6 linked regions of the Oryctolagus cuniculus genome follow. The protein of the gene in region 1 interacts with the protein of each later gene in a pairwise test. Links are inferred from orthologs where the notes say so. Each region holds a gene or a part of one and is shown in the gene's direction. Other genes may lie near its edges.

Evidence for each region.
Region 2: the proteins of BOLL (region 1) and TFG interact in binary tests that used the Homo sapiens proteins (3 or more experiments, as listed by UniProt). The two-hybrid records come from large-scale screens. The link is inferred for Oryctolagus cuniculus from reciprocal best matches to the Homo sapiens genes BOLL and TFG.
Region 3: the proteins of BOLL (region 1) and C7H1orf94 interact in binary tests that used the Homo sapiens proteins (3 or more experiments, as listed by UniProt). The two-hybrid records come from large-scale screens. The link is inferred for Oryctolagus cuniculus from reciprocal best matches to the Homo sapiens genes BOLL and C1orf94.
Region 4: the proteins of BOLL (region 1) and small EDRK-rich factor 2 interact in a two-hybrid assay, tested with the Homo sapiens proteins (2 studies listed by BioGRID and IntAct). The two-hybrid records come from large-scale screens. The link is inferred for Oryctolagus cuniculus from reciprocal best matches to the Homo sapiens genes BOLL and SERF2.
Region 5: the proteins of BOLL (region 1) and RBFOX2 interact in binary tests that used the Homo sapiens proteins (3 or more experiments, as listed by UniProt). The two-hybrid records come from large-scale screens. The link is inferred for Oryctolagus cuniculus from reciprocal best matches to the Homo sapiens genes BOLL and RBFOX2.
Region 6: the proteins of BOLL (region 1) and ZNF385C interact in a two-hybrid assay, tested with the Homo sapiens proteins (2 studies listed by BioGRID). The two-hybrid records come from large-scale screens. The link is inferred for Oryctolagus cuniculus from reciprocal best matches to the Homo sapiens genes BOLL and ZNF385C.

What each region holds. Positions count from the first base shown.
Region 1 is NC_091434.1:42,598,313-42,601,623, forward strand, and holds the end of BOLL (protein boule-like), read left to right. Parts: intron 1-790; coding exon 791-941; 3' UTR 942-2,811; downstream 2,812-3,311. UniProt on the Homo sapiens protein: Probable RNA-binding protein, which may be required during spermatogenesis. May act by binding to the 3'-UTR of mRNAs and regulating their translation.
Region 2 is NC_091435.1:55,295,295-55,298,794, forward strand, and holds part of TFG (protein TFG), read left to right. Parts: intron 1-379; coding exon 380-526; intron 527-3,500. UniProt on the Homo sapiens protein: Plays a role in the normal dynamic function of the endoplasmic reticulum (ER) and its associated microtubules. Required for secretory cargo traffic from the endoplasmic reticulum to the Golgi apparatus.
Region 3 is NC_091438.1:138,426,454-138,429,953, reverse strand, and holds part of C7H1orf94 (uncharacterized protein C1orf94 homolog), read left to right. Parts: intron 1-2,785; coding exon 2,786-3,046; intron 3,047-3,500.
Region 4 is NC_091438.1:8,272,160-8,274,366, forward strand, and holds small EDRK-rich factor 2, read left to right. Parts: upstream 1-1,149; 5' UTR 1,150-1,208; coding exon 1,209-1,388; 3' UTR 1,389-1,707; downstream 1,708-2,207. UniProt on the Homo sapiens protein: Positive regulator of amyloid protein aggregation and proteotoxicity. Induces conformational changes in amyloid proteins, such as HTT, driving them into compact formations preceding the formation of aggregates.
Region 5 is NC_091442.1:113,493,836-113,497,909, reverse strand, and holds the start of RBFOX2 (RNA binding protein fox-1 homolog 2), read left to right. Parts: upstream 1-1,274; 5' UTR 1,275-1,743; coding exon 1,744-1,929; intron 1,930-4,074. UniProt on the Homo sapiens protein: RNA-binding protein that regulates alternative splicing events by binding to 5'-UGCAUGU-3' elements. Prevents binding of U2AF2 to the 3'-splice site.
Region 6 is NC_091448.1:20,707,216-20,710,715, forward strand, and holds part of ZNF385C (zinc finger protein 385C), read left to right. Parts: intron 1-1,211; exon of another isoform or gene 1,212-1,487; intron 1,488-2,806; coding exon 2,807-3,058; intron 3,059-3,500.

The sequences.
Region 1 (3,311 bases):
GATATTTTTAGTTAACAAGAGGATTAAAATATTGTTCTATTAAATAAAGGTAGTATAGGCCGGCGCCGCGGCTCACTAGGCTAATCCTCCGCCTAGCGGCGCCGGCACACCGGGTTCTAGTCCCGGTCGGGGCGCCGGATTCTGTCCCGGTTGCCCCTCTTCCAGGCCAGCTCTCTGCTGTGGCCAGGGAGTGCAGTGGAGGATGGCCCAGGTGCTTGGGCCCTGCACCCCATGGGAGACCAGGAAAAGCACCTGGCTCCTGGCTTCAGATCAGTGCGGTGCGCCGGCCGCAGCAGCCATTGGAGGGTGAACCAACGGCAAAAGGAAGACCTTTCTCTCTGTCTCTCTCTCACTGTCCACTCTGCCTGTCAAAAAAATAAATAAATAAATTAAATAAAGGTAGTATATTAATAATTCTCTAATTTTTCTCTGGAGAGGTGTTTTCTTGTCCACAGGATCCAACTCTAAATCGTTTAACAAATCTTTACCAGAGTTCAGGGATGCAAAAGGAAGTATAACCTATCAATTTAGAAATGCCATTGGGGATACCACCTCAGACCCCTTATAGCAAGTCTCTTTTTATAGCTGTAGGATTCCTCCCTGTCCAGCAGCAGGTTATAGGGTATCCTACTCTTTTTAGTGGGAATTTCCTTAAGCAAACCTTTTCTCTCCAGAATCCATGCCCAGTTATTCTTATTTTTTTTTAATTTTTCCCTTAAGTAATTGTAAAATTAGTCATTTAAAATGCATTGAAACCCTAATCTTGTTTAAATCTCTTAATAGGAACAAGGTTACATTGTGTGAGAAGAAGCTTTTCCCAGCCTTCATCTGTAGGTTTGAAACCCCGGTATTCTCAAAGCCCACATTTTCATCCTAGAAAAAATTTCAGAGCAGAGGAGTCAATTCTTACTCCACCTTCCTCTACTGATTCTGTTAAGTAGAATCCTGGATAACTATTTTGTCTGGTAATAGAAAACAACTAGCCCTGTATGTGGTCTGGTAAAAAATAGAGGGTTTGGGATGTGTTATAGGTTAAATGTTCTCTTGCTTTTGTAAGACAACTAAAGAAATATTAGTAGCCAGAACACTGGAGGTGCAGGATAAAATCATGATATCCTTGATTTATTCACACACTTAAGTAATGTAGATGTCAAATTGTAGCAAATAGAACAAAGATTATAAGACAAATAAATAACTTGATAAAGTTTTAAAAATTTAGTCATCTGGCAGTCTTATTAACTTGATAATCTCATATAAAAGCACTTAAAAACATCTTTGGTGTTTGGGTTTTTCAGTTTTACTCCAGATGTTTCATATTTGTAGACACAGCCATGGCATATACAGAATAAATGTAGCAACGAGCCACTTGTAATATGGTATCATTCAAAAATACACTATCGGCCGGCGCCGCAGCTCACTAGGCTAATCCTCCGCCTAGCGGCGCCGGCACACCGGATTCTGTCCCGGTTGCCCCTCTTCCAGGCCAGCCCTCTGCTGTGGCCAGGGAGTGCAGTGGAGGATGGCCCAGGTGCTTGGGCCCTGCACCCCACGGGAGACCAGGAAAAGCACCTGGCTCCTGGCTCCTGCCATCGGATCAGCGCGGTGCGCCGGCCGCATCGCACTGGCCGCGGCGGCCATTGGAGGGTGAACCAACGGCAAAGGAAGACCTTTCTCTCTGTCTCTCTCTCACTGTCCACTCTGCCTGTCAAAAAAATAAATAAATAAATTAAATAAAGGTAGTATATTAATAATTCTCTAATTTTTCTCTGGAGAGGTGTTTTCTTGTCCACAGGATCCAACTCTAAATCGTTTAACAAATCTTTACCAGAGTTCAGGGATGCAAAAGGAAGTATAACCTATCAATTTAGAAATGCCATTGGGGATACCACCTCAGACCCCTTATAGCAAGTCTCTTTTTATAGCTGTAGGATTCCTCCCTGTCCAGCAGCAGGTTATAGGGTATCCTACTCTTTTTAGTGGGAATTTCCTTAAGCAAACCTTTTCTCTCCAGAATCCATGCCCAGTTATTCTTATTTTTTTTTAATTTTTCCCTTAAGTAATTGTAAAATTAGTCATTTAAAATGCATTGAAACCCTAATCTTGTTTAAATCTCTTAATAGGAACAAGGTTACATTGTGTGAGAAGAAGCTTTTCCCAGCCTTCATCTGTAGGTTTGAAACCCCGGTATTCTCAAAGCCCACATTTTCATCCTAGAAAAAATTTCAGAGCAGAGGAGTCAATTCTTACTCCACCTTCCTCTACTGATTCTGTTAAGTAGAATCCTGGATAACTATTTTGTCTGGTAATAGAAAACAACTAGCCCTGTATGTGGTCTGGTAAAAAATAGAGGGTTTGGGATGTGTTATAGGTTAAATGTTCTCTTGCTTTTGTAAGACAACTAAAGAAATATTAGTAGCCAGAACACTGGAGGTGCAGGATAAAATCATGATATCCTTGATTTATTCACACACTTAAGTAATGTAGATGTCAAATTGTAGCAAATAGAACAAAGATTATAAGACAAATAAATAACTTGATAAAGTTTTAAAAATTTAGTCATCTGGCAGTCTTATTAACTTGATAATCTCATATAAAAGCACTTAAAAACATCTTTGGTGTTTGGGTTTTTCAGTTTTACTCCAGATGTTTCATATTTGTAGACACAGCCATGGCATATACAGAATAAATGTAGCAACGAGCCACTTGTAATATGGTATCATTCAAAAATACACTATCGGCCGGCGCCGCAGCTCACTAGGCTAATCCTCCGCCTAGCGGCGCCGGCACACCGGATTCTGTCCCGGTTGCCCCTCTTCCAGGCCAGCCCTCTGCTGTGGCCAGGGAGTGCAGTGGAGGATGGCCCAGGTGCTTGGGCCCTGCACCCCACGGGAGACCAGGAAAAGCACCTGGCTCCTGGCTCCTGCCATCGGATCAGCGCGGTGCGCCGGCCGCATCGCACTGGCCGCGGCGGCCATTGGAGGGTGAACCAACGGCAAAGGAAGACCTTTCTCTCTGTCTCTCTCTCTCACTGTCCACTCTGCCTGTCAAAAAAAAAAAATAATAATAATAATAATAATAATAATAATAATACACTATCTTGTTAGGAAGGAAAGTAATATGTACAGAGTAGATTCTAGCTTCTACATTATTTTGGTTTCATTGTATTTAGGTTTGTATATATTTTACCTCCATTAAATGTTTTTAATAAAACATTTCAAATTGTAGGTTTAGATGGGAAATTCTGGCAGGCAGTGATACATATAAAAATAATTGTGTATGTATACAATATATGTATATGTGTGTGTTTACCT
Region 2 (3,500 bases), on another chromosome or scaffold:
AACAGTACGTGTCTCAGTAAGATGTTAGAAACAATCTTTTACGGTGCATCAGCTTGCATTATGTGATTTTGTATCAGGTTCAAGAAAGTGTTGTTTGCTGTGGGTAATGGAATTCTTCTATGCCTTTTTGCCAATAAGGTCATAGGTGGGTCTGACATCAAGAAAGACTGATGAATGTTTATTTTCTTAGAAATGTAAGCTATTAGTAATGAAGGTCTTTTCCTTTAAAGAGTTATTCTAGTGACATCAGTAGGTATCTTTAATTTTGTTTCACTTTTTAAAGGAATTGTACTTATTTTTCCTTATTGCATATTATTCTATTGATATACTTTTTCAGGAACATCTACTAATTTCCACCAAACTAATGCTTTTATTTCAGTTAATGGTCAACCCAGACCCCTTGAATCAAGTCAGGTGAAATACCTCCGTCGAGAACTGATAGAGCTTCGCAATAAAGTGAATCGCTTATTGGACAGCTTGGAGCCACCTGGAGAGCCAGGACCTCCCACCAGTATTCCTGACAATGGTAAACCATGAATCAGCTTAAATTTGATTTATTGTTACATCTTTTCTTGCAGACCTTTTTAGATTTGCTTTTTTTAAGCCCTTTAGTAGGAGTAGGGTGGCATCCTCAGTGTAACTCTTGTTTCTGCCTCTGTGGTAGTGTTCATCGTCTATGTCTGTGTTCTCAAACTTGGCCAGCTGTTCATCAGGCTTACTGGAGGTTTCATTATACCAGTTTCTTCATCTCATTACAAACCTATTGGAGGATAGGGCTTGGAAATCCCATCTTACAGAGTGATGTTTGAGTCTTCTAAAACTAGTCTTACACTAGTTTCATAATATCTGTCGGTTTTCAAACCTCTAACTCATTGAACGCTTTCCGGTGTAATAGGTGATTAATTTTAGAAATTGAAAATTATTTCTTGAAGTATATTATATAGGTTCAAGTAAAAAAAATAGTGTAGTAAAAGCATATAACAATTGTTTGAAACACAATTTTTAATATAAAAAACTGATTTTTTTGCTTTCATTTTATACATGATAGGTACTATTTATGTTAAGATAAAGATAATTAACAAATGGAATGGACATATTTTTGGAAATTTAAGTATATAGTGTGGCTTGAAAAAATATATATATTTTTTTTAATTTATTTGAAAGGTAGAGTCATAGAGAGACAGAGAGAAAGGTCTTCCCTCCGTTGGTTCACTCTCCACATGGCTGCCACGGCCGGCGCTGCGCCGATCTGAAGCCAGGAGCCAGGTGCTTCTTCCTGGTCTCCCATGCGGGTGCAGGGCCCAAGCACCTGGACCATCTTCCAGTGCCCTCCCGGGCCACAGCAGAGAGCTGGACTGGGAGAGGAGCAGCCAGGACTAGAACCCAGCACCCATATGGGATGCTAGTGCTGCAAGGCGGAGGATTAACCAAGTGATCCATGGCGCCAGCCCCTTGAAAGTAGATTTTTAAAAACTACTTTTCTTAATTTTTAAGATTCTTAGATGTCACACTTTAAAAAGCTTGATTTTTTTTTTACATAGTTCTTATTTGCTTATAACTTTTATGTAACACTTTCCGTATTATGGATTTTTAAAAACAAAGTCAGGAATGAATGTTAAAGGGCTTAATGGAGATGATTTTTTTATGAAAAAGTGGCACCTGTAATCCTTGCAACCTTTAGGTTCTGAGATATTCTATTTTTGGCTCCTAAATAATTTTGGAGCCATGGTTTTTTTTTTCTTTAGTTATAGCTTATTAAGAGGCAGATTCCATAATTTCCCTCTTTCTTTCTTCTTCCAGTCATGTGGAATTTGTGTTAATTGCTCCAAAAGTATTTGGTGAGAATATTTTGTAGTTCTACCTATTTTATAACATATTGGAGATTTGCTGGAATCTTATAAAGAAATCTTCTTGGTCACTTTATGATGAAACTCTTTATGGTCAGACATTACATATTCTGAAACCCACCTCTCCAAACAAAAAGGACCAGTTTTAAAGAATCTGATTAAAAATGTAGACCATTTTTCAAGAATTCATAGTTTTTTTTTTTTTTTTTTTTTTTTTAATATTTGACAGGTGGGGTTATAGACAGAGAGAGAGACAGAAAGAAAGGTCTTCCCTTGGTTCACCCCCAAATGGCTGCTATGGCTGGCGTGCTGCGCCGATCCAGAGCCAGGAGCCAGGAGCTTCCTCCTGGTCTCCCACACAGGGCAGGGTCCAAGCACTTGGGCCATTCTCCACTGCCTTCCCGGGCCACAGCAGAGAGCTGGACTGGAAGAGGAGCAACTGGGACTAGAACCCGGCGCCCATGTGGGATGCTGGCGCTGCAGGCGGAGGATTAACCAAGTGAGCCACGGTGCCAGCCCCAAGAATTCATAGGTTCTAATACAACATTTGCATGTAATTTTTGAGAGTTATGTGCTTGTGATGTAGCCTTGGAATTAGAAGAAGGAAGTTGATAAGAAAGATAGCTTGTAGATATACTGTAAAGCGGTGCTTATAGTATTTTGTTCTCCCCTGAGAAATTTAGGAAATATTGGAATACCCTGGAAAACCAAGTTAGGAATGAATGGATGTGTGTATTAGGAGGGCTTATATTTTACTTAGTTTTGTTTTTTGTTTTATTATTTTTGAAATATTTCTTTATTTGAAAGTCAGTAGAGAGAGAGGGTGAGACAGAGGCCTTCCATCTGCTGGTTTACTCCCCAGATGGCTGCAATGGTCAGGGCAGAGCCAGGCTAAAGATTTTCCCACATGGGTGCAGGGTCCCAAACACTTGGGCCATCTTCTGCTGCTTTTCTCAGGCTGGATCGAAAAGTTGAGCAACCAGGAAGACACAAACTCGTGTCCATAAGGGATGCCTGCGTTGCATGCGGCAGCTTCACTCACTTTGCTGTAATGCTGGCCCTGTGTTTTTTTTTTGGCAAGAGAAGTTTTGTACTGATTCCAGGGGTCACACCCATCTATCTAACAACTGTTGGTCATTTACCTGATAACAGAACACAACTGATAATCATCACTGTTAAATAGCCACTTTTTTGTATACATGTTTGTTTTCTTTTGATAACTTTTTTTTGTATTCCTGTTGATAATACAGAGGTTGTTCTTGAATCCCTTTTTTTTACAAGGTAATAGTATAATTGCCTGTTGAATAACTTAGTATACTTAGAAGAAATGTATATTTAAATTAACCTGCCCATAATATTAAACATTTTATTTTTGCTTTAAAAAAAGTACTTTTAAATGGAGAAATATAAGTATATATATAAGTATACATAATGTGAATATTATAGTGAATCCCATGAACTCACATCCAACTTAAGCCATTATTAAATTATTGTCATGTCATATATCCTCCCAGTTTCTCCACCCTTCCCATATTATTCGGAAGCAGATCTCAAACATGCATCATTTTTATCTGTATGTATTTTAATAAGTAATTTAATAAGTAATAAATACTTAAAAGTAAGTATTAGGCATGAATTCTGTTTGACTTGATT
Region 3 (3,500 bases), on another chromosome or scaffold:
TAAATTACCCCCACCTCCTCTCCAGTGATTTGGCCTTTTTTCCCCCCTGATCTAGCTGCTCAGACCGATTGCAGTGGCATTTATGCACAGTCAGCAGTCACTTGGAGAGCAGGTCATACTCATGTCACCCAGAGGGGAAAAGGACCCCAGGCTGTGAGGAACAGGGGTGGACCACTGCGGGTGGGGGGTATCAAGAGGGCCTGAACCCATCTCCCTGAGAAAACAGGAGCAAGGTCCCCCATGAGAACACTGTGTGTTGTGTGGCATTGTGGACAAGCCAGGGAATCGAGCTGTGGCCAGAGAGCTAGAATCTGGGTGTTGGACAGGTTGGAGCAGCCCGAGGGCTTTGGGACCATGGAATGGGCTTGTGAGAGGATTGAGTCCTGCCCAGGAAACCTCCCTGTTAGATAGGGGTGCTAGGCCCCAACCACTAGTACCACTGTGTGTGTGTGTGTGTGTGTGTGTACAGATGCATGAGCCAAGAGGTTCTAAAGAGAGCTTTGCAGATATGAATGTGTGTGTGTCAGAGAAAATGCAGCTGTGGTGCAGCTGAGTGCGTCTCTGTACATTCTTGTGCATGTGTGGCAGGTGTGTGCTTGCACACGTGTCAGTGCAGACAAAGGAATGGCAGGCAGGAAAGTGTGGGCCTGGCTCTTGGAGGAAGGAGCTCTGTAGATGTTTCAGGCAACTGTAGGTGTGCGCGCGAGGCTGCAGGTACTGAGGTCTCTGGGGAGAGGGATATTATTAGTGAGTGCTGGTATTTCCGCATGCTGGCTGGGGGCTAAACTCGGCAACCAGATGAACTCTTGGAAGAGACTCTAGGGATGTGTTTTTGCTAAAAATGTTGCTTTCTCCTAAATCGGCTCAGGCTAGCACAGCTCTTTCCTGTGCTAGGATGGTGTTAGGAGGGCAGGCCCAGTCCCATCGTGGCCACTGAGCCTGCAGTGCTGGGGTCAAAGAGCTGGGAGGATGGGGTACACTCCTAATGGGCAGCTGAGGCACAGGTCTTCAGATGGGGCCACTCCCAGAGGGAGCCCAGAGGCCTGCAGTATGTCCAGCATGGGGACAGTCATCCAGCAGGTGACCGGGTCTCCTAGCCAAGCTCCAGGGAGAACTTTTGAGATCCCAGGCCCAGAGGAGGAGTGGATGGGGCCGGGTGGGTGCACAAAGCTCTCTTCCCTGCTTCAACCAGGACAATGCCTTAAAAAAGGAAAGGAACAAACCAACTGCATATATGGAGTTCTTTCTGCCAATAGATTTCCTCCCCATGCTTAATCACAAGCAAGAGTCCCTTAACAAGTTCCTGGAAAAGTGGAGTTAAAACATATGCTTGTTTTGGTGGGGAAAAAAATGGAAACCCATGCATTTGTTGTTGGTAATACACCTTTTCCAGGAAAATTTTGGCACTCAGGTGAGTGAGAGCCACTGCTGTGGAGGACCCCATGGTGGTGCAGACACTGTCCTTGTTCTGGGGTGACTGCCGGGCCAAAGCTGGCAATGGCTGGGCCCCCACCCCACATCCCAGCCGTCTCTGTTGAATCCCCACAGCTCTGAGTTTGCAGCCTCTGGCCCAGTTCCCACGCCTGTCTTGCCTTCCTCCCAGACATCCCAGCATGTCTTGCCTTGCTGAAACCCCACCTCGTTTTGGAACACAAAGCCCCATTCAGACAAAGAGCAGTCTCAGCCATCTTCTTCTCCCATTGTGTCCCCTGTCACCTCCTGGGTCCCACCTGCCTTGTCCCAGAGCTATTTCTGAGCATGTCTCTCTCGCCTTCCATGTGATGAGCTACTGCAGGGCAGAATGGCTCTGACTCATCACTGTGTCCCCAGTGCTCAGGGCAGGGTCTGGAGCTGACAAGCCAGCTGAATCACCTGTGAGCCACAGACAGAAGTAGAGGCGTGATATGGTGCCAAACTGTGGGGTCCAGGCTGTGTTCCGTGGAAATGCGAGACCACCCTTAGCTCTCAGTTGCACGCTCCTTCAAGGAAGACTGTGTCCAAGTCATCTTCCTGGCACTATGGATGGCTGGAAGGAAGAAAGGAGGGAGTTAGGAGAGGAGAAAAGAAGGGAAGGAAGTCGAAATGTGGAAGGAAGGAAAGGAAGAGGGAGAGAGGAGCAGAGAAAAGAAAAGTAGTTGAAGAAAGGAATAATGTAAGAAAGGATGAGTGAATGGATGAAAGGGGAAAGGGAAACTAACAATGGATGGATAGAAGGGTGGATGGATGGATGGATACATGGGTGGATGGGTGGATGGAGAGACACATGGGTGGATGGGTGAATGGGTACATGGGTGGATGGGTGGATGGAGAGACACATGGGTGGATGGGTGAATGGATACATGGGTGGATGGATGGATGGAGAGACACATGGGTGGATGGGTGAATGGATGTGTGGATGGGTGGAGAGACACATGGGTGGATGGGTGAATGGATGTGTGGGTGAATGGGTGGGTAGATGGATTAATGGATGGGTGGATGGCTGAGTGATGGATGTGTGCATGGAAGCATATATGGGTGGATGGGTGTGTGAGTTAATGGATGCGTGAGTAGATGGATGGAGGGAGAGAAAGAAGGAAGGATGGGTGGATAAATAGGTAGATGCTTGAGGTAGGAAGACTAGACTGGACAGTGGTCAGGGGAGTGCCGAGGGACAGACTGGGGCTGTATGTATCTGAGAGTGTCCTCTTGAGTGGTCTGGGCCTCAGATGTGTGCTGTGGGGGATCCGTCATGCAGCCACAGGATGGTGCCTTCCCTGACTCTGACTTAATTTCCCTCCTACTGTAGAACAAAACCCTAGCAACAAAGACTCAACCAAGTGTCAAGACAGCCTCTTTGTTAGCCAGTGGCCCCAGAGTCGGAAGGATACCTGTGGTGAGGAGGGTTGCAACGACCCAGTGGGCACCCCGTCCATGGCCCTGCCGCCCAAGAAGCCTGCATGGCCAGCCGAGAAGAATCTGCTGTATGAGTTCCTCGGAGCCACCAAAAACCCAAGTGGGCAGTTGAAGCTTCGCAACAAAGTGGATGTGGATGGGCTGGAGCTGAAATGTAAGCTGGCCTACGGTGGGGCTGCAGAGGAAGGAAGGGATTCCAGACACCCTGCTTAGGCTCTGGAGAGTGGTTGGGTCACCAAGAGGCTATGCTATCCATGGGCAAGTCACTGCTCTTCATATCCTTATCAGAAACGTGACCACTAGCAGGAGTGGGAACCTGTTTACTGCCAAGAGCCATTTCGATATGTATAACATCATTTGTGGGCCATAAAAAGTATCAACTTAAAAACTAACCTGTTGTAGATTTGTTGAATGTTGAGTTCCGACTGTGGTTGCCTTGGCAGAGCCAGATCTTATACAGCCCCTGGGCTGCCTGTTCCCTACCCCAGCGACCAGATGACTATAGTTGGCTTTCAGGGGTCACATGAACATTAGTAGTGATGAATTTTAAATATAGCCCCAACTCAACATAGACCATACACTCTCAAATTGCCCAAGATGAAAAAAAC
Region 4 (2,207 bases), on another chromosome or scaffold:
TGAGCTAGGTAATAGGAAAGACTATTTTCCTAATTTTCTTTAAAATACTTATGACTATTTGATTAACAGATTTGGGGGGCCAGCACTGTGGCACAGCGGGTTAAGCCACCATCTGCAGTGCTGGCGTCCCATATGGGCACCAGTGCAAGTCCTGGCTGCTCCACTTCCGATCCAGCTCCCTGCTGATGTTCCTGGGAAATCAGCGGAAGATGGCCCAAGTCCTTGGGCCCCTGCACCCACATGGGAGACCTGGATGAAGCTCCTGGGTTCATGTCGTCAGCCTGGCCAAACCCTGGCTGTGTGGCCATTTGGGGAGTGAACCAGAAGATCAAAGATTCTCTCTCTCTCTCTCTCTCTGTGTGTGTGTGTGTCTTTGATTCTTCTCTGTAACCCTTTCAAATAAATAAATAAATCTTTACAAAAATAAATAAAAATATGGGGCCGGCACTGTGGCATAACAGGTAAAGCCACCGCCTACAGTGCTGGCATCCCATACGGGTTCAAGTTCCAGCTGTTCCACTTCCGAACCAGCTCTCTGCTCTGGCCTGGGAAGGCAGCAGAAGATGGCCCAAGTCCTTGGGCCCCTGCACCCACATGGGAGACCTGGATGAGGCTCCTGGCTCCTGGCTTTGGATCGGCACAGCTTTGGCCTTTACAGCCAACTGGGGAATGAACCAGAGGACAGAAGACCTCTCTCTCTGCCTCTCTGCCTCTTCTCTGTGTAACTCTGACTTTCAAGTAAATAAATAAATCTTTAAAAATAAATAAATAAAAAGATTACCATAGATAAAAGGGGCATTTTTGTAATGATCAAAGTATCAGTTATTTAGGAAGCCATTCCAATGGTAAATGTCTACGTTCTAAATAACAGAGCCTCTGACTACATGTAGCAGAAGTCAAAAGGAGAAGAAAAACAGGCAATTTCACAATCCCAATAAGAGAATTGTAATCTGTATCTCTCTTCCTCTCTCTCTCCATCTCTCTCTCTCAGCAATTAATAGAACTAAACAAAAAGTCAATAAAAGACAAAAGGGTTGAATGACTTTATCAACCACCTTGTCTAACCCATTATAGAATATGACACTGTAAAATCTTAAGTGTGTATGGTGTGTTCACCAAGACAGGCCAGATGCAGCCCTCAAGAAATTAGGAAGGCGGGAGAGAACGAGGGGACGCAACGGAGGCAGGCCGGAGCCGCTGCCGTCGCCATGACCCGCGGTAACCAGCGTGAACTCGCCCGCCAGAATAATATGAAAAAGCAGAGCGACTCGGTTAAGGGAAAGCGCCGAGATGACGGGCTGTCTGCTGCCGCCCGCAAGCAGAGGGACTCGGAGATCATGCAGCAGAAGCAGAAAAAGGCAAACGAGAAGAAGGAGGAACCCAAGTAGCTTTGTGGCTTCGTGTCCAGCCCTCTTGCCCTTCGCCTGTCTGCCTGGAGCCAGTCCCACCATGCTCGCGTTTCCTCCTGTAGTGCTCACAGGTCCCAGCACCGATGGCATTCCCTTTGCCCTGAGTCTGCAGCGGGTCCCTTTTGTGCTTCCTTCCCCTCAGGTAGCCTCTCTCCCCCTGGGCCACTCCTGGGGGTGAGAGGGTTACCTCTTCCCAGTGTTTTTTATTCCTGTGGGGCACACCCCAAAGTATTAAAAGTAGCTTTGTAAAAAAAAAAAAAAGAAGAAGAAGAAAGAAAGAAAGAAAGAAAGAAAGAAATTAGGAAGGCATTAAAACCATACAAACTTTAAAATATGACCGCAATAAAGTTAAATTAGAAAGAGTTGTGGCACAGCGGGTCCGAGCTGCTGCCTGGGATGCCGGCATCTCATATTGGAGTGCTCGCTCAGGTCCCGCTACTCTGTGCTTCTGGTCCAGCTCTCTGCTGATGTGCCCAGGAGGCAGCAGATGGGAGCCTCAGCACGTGGGCTCCTGCCACGCACATGGGTGATCTGGATCGAGTTCCTGGCTCCTGGGTGCTGTGGTCATTTGGGGAGTGATACAGCGGATGGGAGATCTCTCTCTCTCTCCCCCCCCCTTCATTTCAAATAATAAATCTTTTTTTAAAAGATTTTATTTATCTGAGAGGTAGAGATACAGACAGTGAGAGGGAGAGACAGAGAGAAAGGTCTCCCATCCACTGGTTCACTCCCCAGATGGCCGCAATGGCTGGAGCTGCGCCGATCTGAAGCCAGGAGCCAGGAGCTTCCTCTGGGTCT
Region 5 (4,074 bases), on another chromosome or scaffold:
GGATGGAAGCCCTCTCTCTCTCTCCCTCCCTCTCTGTAACTCTGCCTCTCAAATAAATAAAATCTCAAAAACAAAAGAAACCATCTCCCTGGGACTGGCATTGTGGCAGGGCTGGTTAAGCTGCTAGTGACGCCAGCATCCCATATTTGGTTTGAGTCCCTGCTGCTCTGCTTCTGAGCTCCCTATTAATGTGCTGGGAAAGCAGCAGATGGTGGCCCAAGTATTTGGACCCCTGCTATCCATGTGGGAGACCCAGGTCTCCTGGCTTTGTCCTGGCCCAGCCCTGGCTACTGTGGCCACTTGGGGGAGTGAACCAGTGGAGGGAAGCTCTCTCTGTCACTGTGCCTTTCAAATCAATCAATCAATCATAAAAATTGCCGAATTTTACAAATGATCGAGCTGAGGTTCAAAGGGATGAAGTAACTTGTGTAAACTAGATAGCAAGTCCAAGGCTAGCATCTAGGTCATACACACATCATTTTATTCCTGGGACTTCATCTACAGGGCACATCATGGGGTGAGAGAGAAAACTCATTGTACACATCTCCAGCCACACAAAGTTGATAAGCAATGAAGTGCCATTCATGCCGCAAGGTGCTAAGAAAGTGAATCGCGAATATGACCCGGCGGCCTGCGATCTGGATCTGCCACCTTGGAGACCACGGTCTCCATCTACCCACCAGCCTCAAAACGGGTGTGCACGCACTATGCAAACCTTAGAGCTCTTACACGCATCGGAGATAATTAAGATCACCAGCGATATAATAATTACGATTAGAGCGGAAGCTCTCAGAATTGCAGAGCGCCACGCAGGAGCGGCTCCGACCCTAGACTCGAGATCCCATTCTTCTATGGGAGGCCCCACCCCTAAGCAGAAAGAAGGCGGCTGGACAAGCGAACCGAGGACACAACTCCGAACAACTAGTCCAGCAAACCGGAGCTGCTTCCCAGCCCTCAGGCCTGCCCCAGGCCGACGCCCCGCCCCCAGAGGCGGCAGGCCCCGCCCCCGCCGCGCCGCGCCTCCAGGCCGATCCCGCGCCGGGGCCGGAGATTCCCGAGTGTCCCCGAGCTCTTCCCGGCCTCCCTCGGGCGGCGGGCGCGGAGGCCGCGGAGATTGCCGAGGGGCGCTGGCCACGCCCCTTCGGCGGGCTCGCCGCCGCCGCCGCCGCCGCCGCCGCCCCCTCGCCTCAGCCTCCCGCGCGGGCGGGAGTCGTCCATCCCGGTCCCTCCTTCCCTCTTTCTCTCTCCCCGCCTTCCCGGCGCTGCCACAGTGGCGGGTCGGAGGATCCCGGCCAGTCAGCTCGTCCCAGCCTCGCGCCCCTCCTCTCCCCCCCCCAAATAAACAGCCCTCCCCACGCCTCGGGAGCCGGACCGCCCCCTTCCTCCCTCGGCCGGCGTGCGGTGAGGGAGAGTGCGAGCGGCCGAGCGCGGGCCAGCGGCCGAGCTCCGGGGGCGCCAGAGGCGGCGCGGCGCGGCGGGCCGGCCGGGCGTCGCGTGTGCGTGCCGGGGCGCGAGCGAGGGCCCGTCGCGAGCCGCCGGCGGCCCCACGCCGACGACCCCGAGGAGCGGCGGGCGCGAGCCAGCCGCGGAGGGGCGCCGGGCCCGCGCGCGCGCACGCACGCACGCACGCGGGGGGCGGGGGCAGGCGCGCACCCGCCTGTCGCGACAGTCGGGGCCGAGGCCCAGGGGGAGGTGGCCTGTCGCAGGTCGCCCGGCTCCCGGAGGCGAGGGGGGCGCGGGCGGATGGCGGAAGGCGCCCAGCCGCAGCAGCCGTCTCAGCTCGGGCCCGGCGCCACTGCCCGGGGCATGAAGCGGGAGTCGGAGCTGGAGCTGCCGGTGCCCGGAGCGGGAGGAGACGGAGCCGAACCCGGCCTGAGCAAGCGGCCGCGCACCGAGGAGGCGGCGGCCGACGGCGGCGGCGGGATGCAGGTGACCGCGCGGCTCGGGGCGCCCCGTTATCGCGGGGGTGCGGAACGTGCCTGGCGGGGGGGGCGGCCCGGGCTCCGGGGCTTGGAGAGGGGGAGGGCTCCGCGGGGTCCCGGGGGGAGGTGGGCAGGGGCGGGCCGGGGCCTTCTTGGAAGCTGGGGCGAGCTCGGGTACGGCAGGATCCCGGGGTGCTCGGGAGGGTCCTGCGTCGATGAGGCTTTTGGGGGGAGTCGACCCTGGGCGGGTTGGAGTCCACGTCTTCAAACCCTGCCTTGGCTTCCGAGGGTGGAGTGGAAGCTGGGAAGTCCTGGGTGTGGGGTTGGCCCGGAGAGCCGCGGGGCTGAGTGGGGGGCGAGGGGGCCGTGGTGGGAGCCTCTCGAGGAGGAGGAGTGCCTTTTTGGCGGCCCTCGCACACCCTGGGCTGGGGTAGGGGAGCGGCGTGTGGACGAGAGAAGCGAAAAGCGAAGAAACTCCTCGAGAGAGCCCAAAGGGGATGTGGCTTGGGTTGTGGGTTCAATCAGTTCCCCAGTGAGTGGGAGGCGCGGGGAGACCGCGGGGTGGCGTGGGCACTGGGGTGCTCAGCCTCTTCACTTTGCGGCTCGTGCGGTTGAGTTTGAAGAGAGACACGGGACAGGTCTCTCCTGTACTTAACATGGTTAGGGCACCGTATAGCTCTCTCTTCATTGTCCTGGGGTATCAAAGGGAATTTATGGGCTTCTTAGAAGCCTGGATTCTGGCTTGTGGACCCAAGGATAAGCGGGCCGATTTGAGTCGTGAGTGGGAGAGGTGTGGATGGCGCCAGCTGAGTTTGGTAGGTTTTAGGATTTGGTCTCTGTTCGGGCATGCTTGCTATGAACAGGTGAGTGGGACTGGCCTGCCACCCGTTATTTTGACATCTGATTCTCTTGGAATCATAGAACGTTAGGAGGAGAGGGACCAGAGGTGACATCTTTTCCAGGGGCTGTTAACCTGGATAGACTTGGAAGATTTTTAAGCAGAATAGTTGATATGCACTTTTTGCTGGAGGAGAATCAGTGGTTTTTTTTTTTTGGTGGGTATTGAAGCCCCTGCATGTTTTTAACTACCTCGTTTTATAGAGGGGGAGTCGCAGTCCCAGGACGACCATCTGCCTGCCTCTCGCCCAGTAGCGGCCGGGAGTCTAGAACCAGCAGTGTGGCCTTCTGATTCCTGTTCCTGGGCTGTCTCCATTCCACCAACTCTTGGAAATCTCTGCTGTGCTAGAAGACTTCCTGTGCTCCCTCCCTGCTCGGCGAGGCTCTGCCTGACTTCCTGTGTTGGAGCCCGAGCTCTGCTTAAGCCCGGTGTGCGTGCCCTGCACCTCTCCCTGTCCGTTGTGGAGTCTGTCCTGTTACCAATGTTGGTTTGGGTAACGTGACCCTCTTGCTGTTTATTTTTGAATTCTTTTCTTTGCCTGCTTCCATTCTCCATTAGAACTCTGGCAAGGAGGAGTAAAACTCATGGCCATGGAAAATAGAGAGGCATACCAGGAGACTTCAGGTGCGGGTGGGTTGCCACTGGATGGAAGGAGGGAAGACTGGGCGAGGTGCTGTTAGTGTGTGCCTGTGCTCTGTGTGTGTGTGTGTGTTCAGTCGTAGTTGGCACGGTTGGACCTGGGGTCCATTATTTGCTTGTTGCCTTCAAACCAAGAGCAGTGGTATTTGGGTATAGAGCAGCGTCTGGGGACTTCGCGGGGTGGGGGTGTGCAGAGGAAGGCGTGGATGAGTGTGGGTGCAGATGGGCAACCTGGAACTGGCACGGAGAATACTCTTCTCACTTTATACATTGGCAGGTTGGAGGTCTGGCACACCGTGGCACGCCGGTGTTCCGGTCATTGATTCTGCCAGACTGCTGTATGGGTTTAGGGAAACCTCTTATTTTGGGGCTTTTGTTTCCCTGCTTGTGCAATAAAGTATTTGTACAAGGTGATTTCTGGAAACATGTAAGTCAGATTCCCTGTCCTTAAGGTACGCACAGTTAAGGTGTGGAGACAAATTGGTGAAAGAAACTGTGTGTGTGTGTGTCTATAAATTCAGTGTTCCTTTACTCTTGTAACTAATCTTTATTGAACAGCTGTTGCATGCCTGTCAGGTTTCTTTTTTCTTTTTTTTTTTTTTTTTGAGATTTATG
Region 6 (3,500 bases), on another chromosome or scaffold:
CGGCTGGGGAAGTCACTTCTGCTCCTCCCTGGGGAGCTAGACCCTCCTTACCCGCCCCCCCTCCACCGACGACGCACACACACAATTTTGCACCTGGGACCTTCTTCCTGCCCATTCGTCCTGCTGGGAGGGAGGGCGGGGGAGGCAGGAGATGGCCCCATCACCACTGTCTGGAGCTGAGGGTGCAGAATAGGGGCTGGGGGCTCCCGGCAGCATTGGGAGCCCTTTTCACAGTGACCTCCAGCGTGACTTCATGGGGAAGGGGCTGTGTCCAGGCCCCTGGACCCATGACATGGCTCTGGCCGGGGGAGGGGATGGGCGGTGGGTGCAGCCTAGCAGCCTCTTGCTGACTGAGGGGTGGTCTTTGCCCTCCTCCTGCCCTGGGCTTTACTGGGTCTCCCGGCTTGTCTTCCCACTGGATGCTAGCTGTGCCACCTGGAGGCTATCTCTGGTACTGCAGCCCAGCCACTGCACCAGGCAGGGGGAATGGGACCCTCAAACCACTAGGCACCTAAGATCGCAGCAGGGTCAAACCCTTGGTGCATTAATTTGCTACGGCAGCCACAACAGAGTGCCACGCACTGGGGGGGGGAGTGCTTAACAGAGATTTATCATCTTCCAGTTCTGGATTCTAGAACATCAAATCAAGGCGGGGGGTGCTGGCAAGGGTGCTTCCTTCTTTTAAACAAATTCAAGTTATTTTCACTTTTTTAAAAGATGATTTTTTAAAAGATTTATTTTATTTATTTGAAAGAGTTACAGAGAGAGGTACTGAGAGAGAGAGAGAGAGAGAGAGAGAGAGAGAGAAAAGTCTTCCATCTACTGGTTCACTCCCTGATTATTCATAAGGTTGGGTCTCTCTGAGCTGTGAAGTAGAATCTGCTTTGTCCTCATGCCGGGCCCCTGGCAGGTGCTGCCGCGATATCTGGGGTTCCTGGGCTCATGGGCGCACCCCCTGCTGTCTGCTCCATCTTCCATGGCCTTCTCCCTGTGTGCGAGTCTGTGTCCAAGTCTCCCCTTTGTAGACGGACACCATTCATCTGTAGAGGACTAGGGGCCCATGCTACACTAGTGTGGCCTTATCTTTTTTTTTTTTTTAGGATTGATTTATCTTATTTGAAATTCAAAATTACAGAGAGAGAGAGAGAGGGAGACAGAGAGAGAAAGAGAGATCCTCCAGACCCGTCGCGGGTTAATAGTAGCTGGCTTTGGCGGACAGCTCGTCCGATGCCCACAGTGGTGTGCGTGCCTGTGACTCAGGAGCTCTTACTCACTGCCCCTCCTGCCATTTGCCCATTTGACAGATGGACAGATCGGGGAGAGCTCCGGTCGCCCAGCCAGTAAGCGACCACGGATTCGAGTCAGCTGTGAATCGGCTCAGAGCTCCTGCTCCATCTGATCCACGCACACGCAGTCCCCACGTGTGTCACGACAAACACAGGTTGCCTGGGCCCACGGCCCAGAGAACGACAGGCAGCTTCCCGAGGGTAGGGCAGGGCATCCGGGACTGCAGGTGGTTCCTCAGGGGTGGGCCCCGTCACTGGGGGTGGGGCCTGATGAGATGATCATGATCTGATTTGCTGGGAGCCTGGGCCCGAGGCATCCCCTAGCTCACTCCCCAGATGACCGCAACGGCCAATACAGGGCCAGGTCAAAGCCAGGAGCCCGGAACACCATAGGGCCTCCCACATGGGTGCAGGGGCCCAAGCACTCGGGCCATCTTCTGCTGCTTTCCTGGGTATATTAGCAGGGAGCTGGATCAGAAGTGGAGCAGCCAGGACTCAAACAGGTGCTGGTGTCACGGGCGGTGGCCTAACCCACTGCTTAAGGCCGGCCCCTTCAGCACCATCTTGAGGGGGACATAATTCGGTCTGGACCAGGAAATGGGCTCAGTCAGACCTCACTCAGGCCCTCACCTTGAGGCTGCCCCAGTCTGAGGGGGAGACACGGGCTCTGCTCCCCGGAAGCCCCACCTAACACAGGCAGGGAGAAGTAAAAGCGGACACAGTGTGGTCTGAGAAAGGGAGCCGTGCAGTCCCTGAGGGACAGTTGGGGGCCGACATGTCGGAGTGTCTCTGAGAAGGGAGCTGGAGGCAAAAGCCTGCCTGGGTGATGGCTGGGTCCAGGTTGAGGGGGCATGTGCACGTGTGTGCCTGTGCATGTATGTGTGTGCACGCACATGTGTGTGCATACATGTAAATGCATGTGTGCGTGTGTGTGTGTGTGTGTATTCAACAGGCCCAGATCTCTCCCTGAACACCAAGTGTGGTCTCATTATGGGTAACCAAGGCAGCAAAGGCCTCTGGAGCCCTGTGGGGCAGGGGCTGGGGTGGCTTCGCACCCTGTCACCACTGGTGAGCGTCACCCTGCTGGGTGCAAGGTGCAGGAAGATTGGGTCCCTGGGCAGAGGCTGCTGTGTCCCCAGGACGCACTGCCACATGCTTGCCTGTCACAGGGGTGTCAGCGCCTGCTGTGGGGCTGCAAACAGGACTCCGGCTTCCCAACGTGTGACTGCACGGCCACGCCGCTGTCTCCCCCAGCGGCCTCCTCTCCCCAGCCCTGAACTCTGCCCTGTGGCCCTCTCAAGCCCCAGGCATCTTGGCCAGCCTCCTTGTGTGTGGGTGTTTCTGACACCCTGCACAGTCCCCACACATTGTAATGCTGCTGTGCTTGAAACAGATCCCACGACGCCCCCTTTGCCTCTCCTTGGGTTGGGGGCCACCAAAGACTGGGGCGTTTCAGCTGGGATGCGGGGCCCCTGGCTGCTGCCGCATCGATTTCTCTCTCTCTTTCTCTGTCTGCTCAGGTATGAAGCGGCCGCTGAGCCCATCGCCCCCGGGTGAGAAGGAGCCCCCCACAGCTGGCCCTGCTGAGTGCCCCCCTCGGCCCCCCGAAGCGCCGAAGCCCAAGCGGGAGAGGAAGCGGCCGTCGTACACGCTCTGTGATGTGTGTAACATCCAGTTGAACTCCGCCGCCCAGGCGCAGGTGCACTGCGGGGGGCGCGCCCACCAGAGGCGGCTTCGGCAGCTCAGCTTGGGCAAAAGCCCCTCGGGGCCAGGTCAGTGTGCGGGGGGGGGGGGGAGGCAGCTCCTACGCAGTGCAGGCCCCCCAGGGCTGGAATCCCCCTGTCTCGACCGCTGTGAGTGGCTCTGGGCCCGTGGCCTCCCTCTGTGGGGTCTGAGGCTCCTTGATGACATCAGGTTTTGTTTTGTTTTGTTTTTACATCTGGACAACTGCAGGGTCGCTGAGGCTCCTTCAGCCTCCTCTTGAGGTCTTGTTTCTGGGGGCCCTCCCCTTGGGGTCTTCGGGGATCAGGACCCCTAACGAGCATTTCTCCAGTGCGGGGCCCAGGCGAGGACGGAGTTGCAGACAACGGTCTACCTGTAGGGAGTCCCAGGCTCCTGCCGTGACCTCTGAAGGCCGGGGTCAGCGAGGTGTACGGCACGGGCGGCCCCCTTCCTTCAGCGGCTGGAGTCACGGCCAGGGTTTCTGCCTGTCCC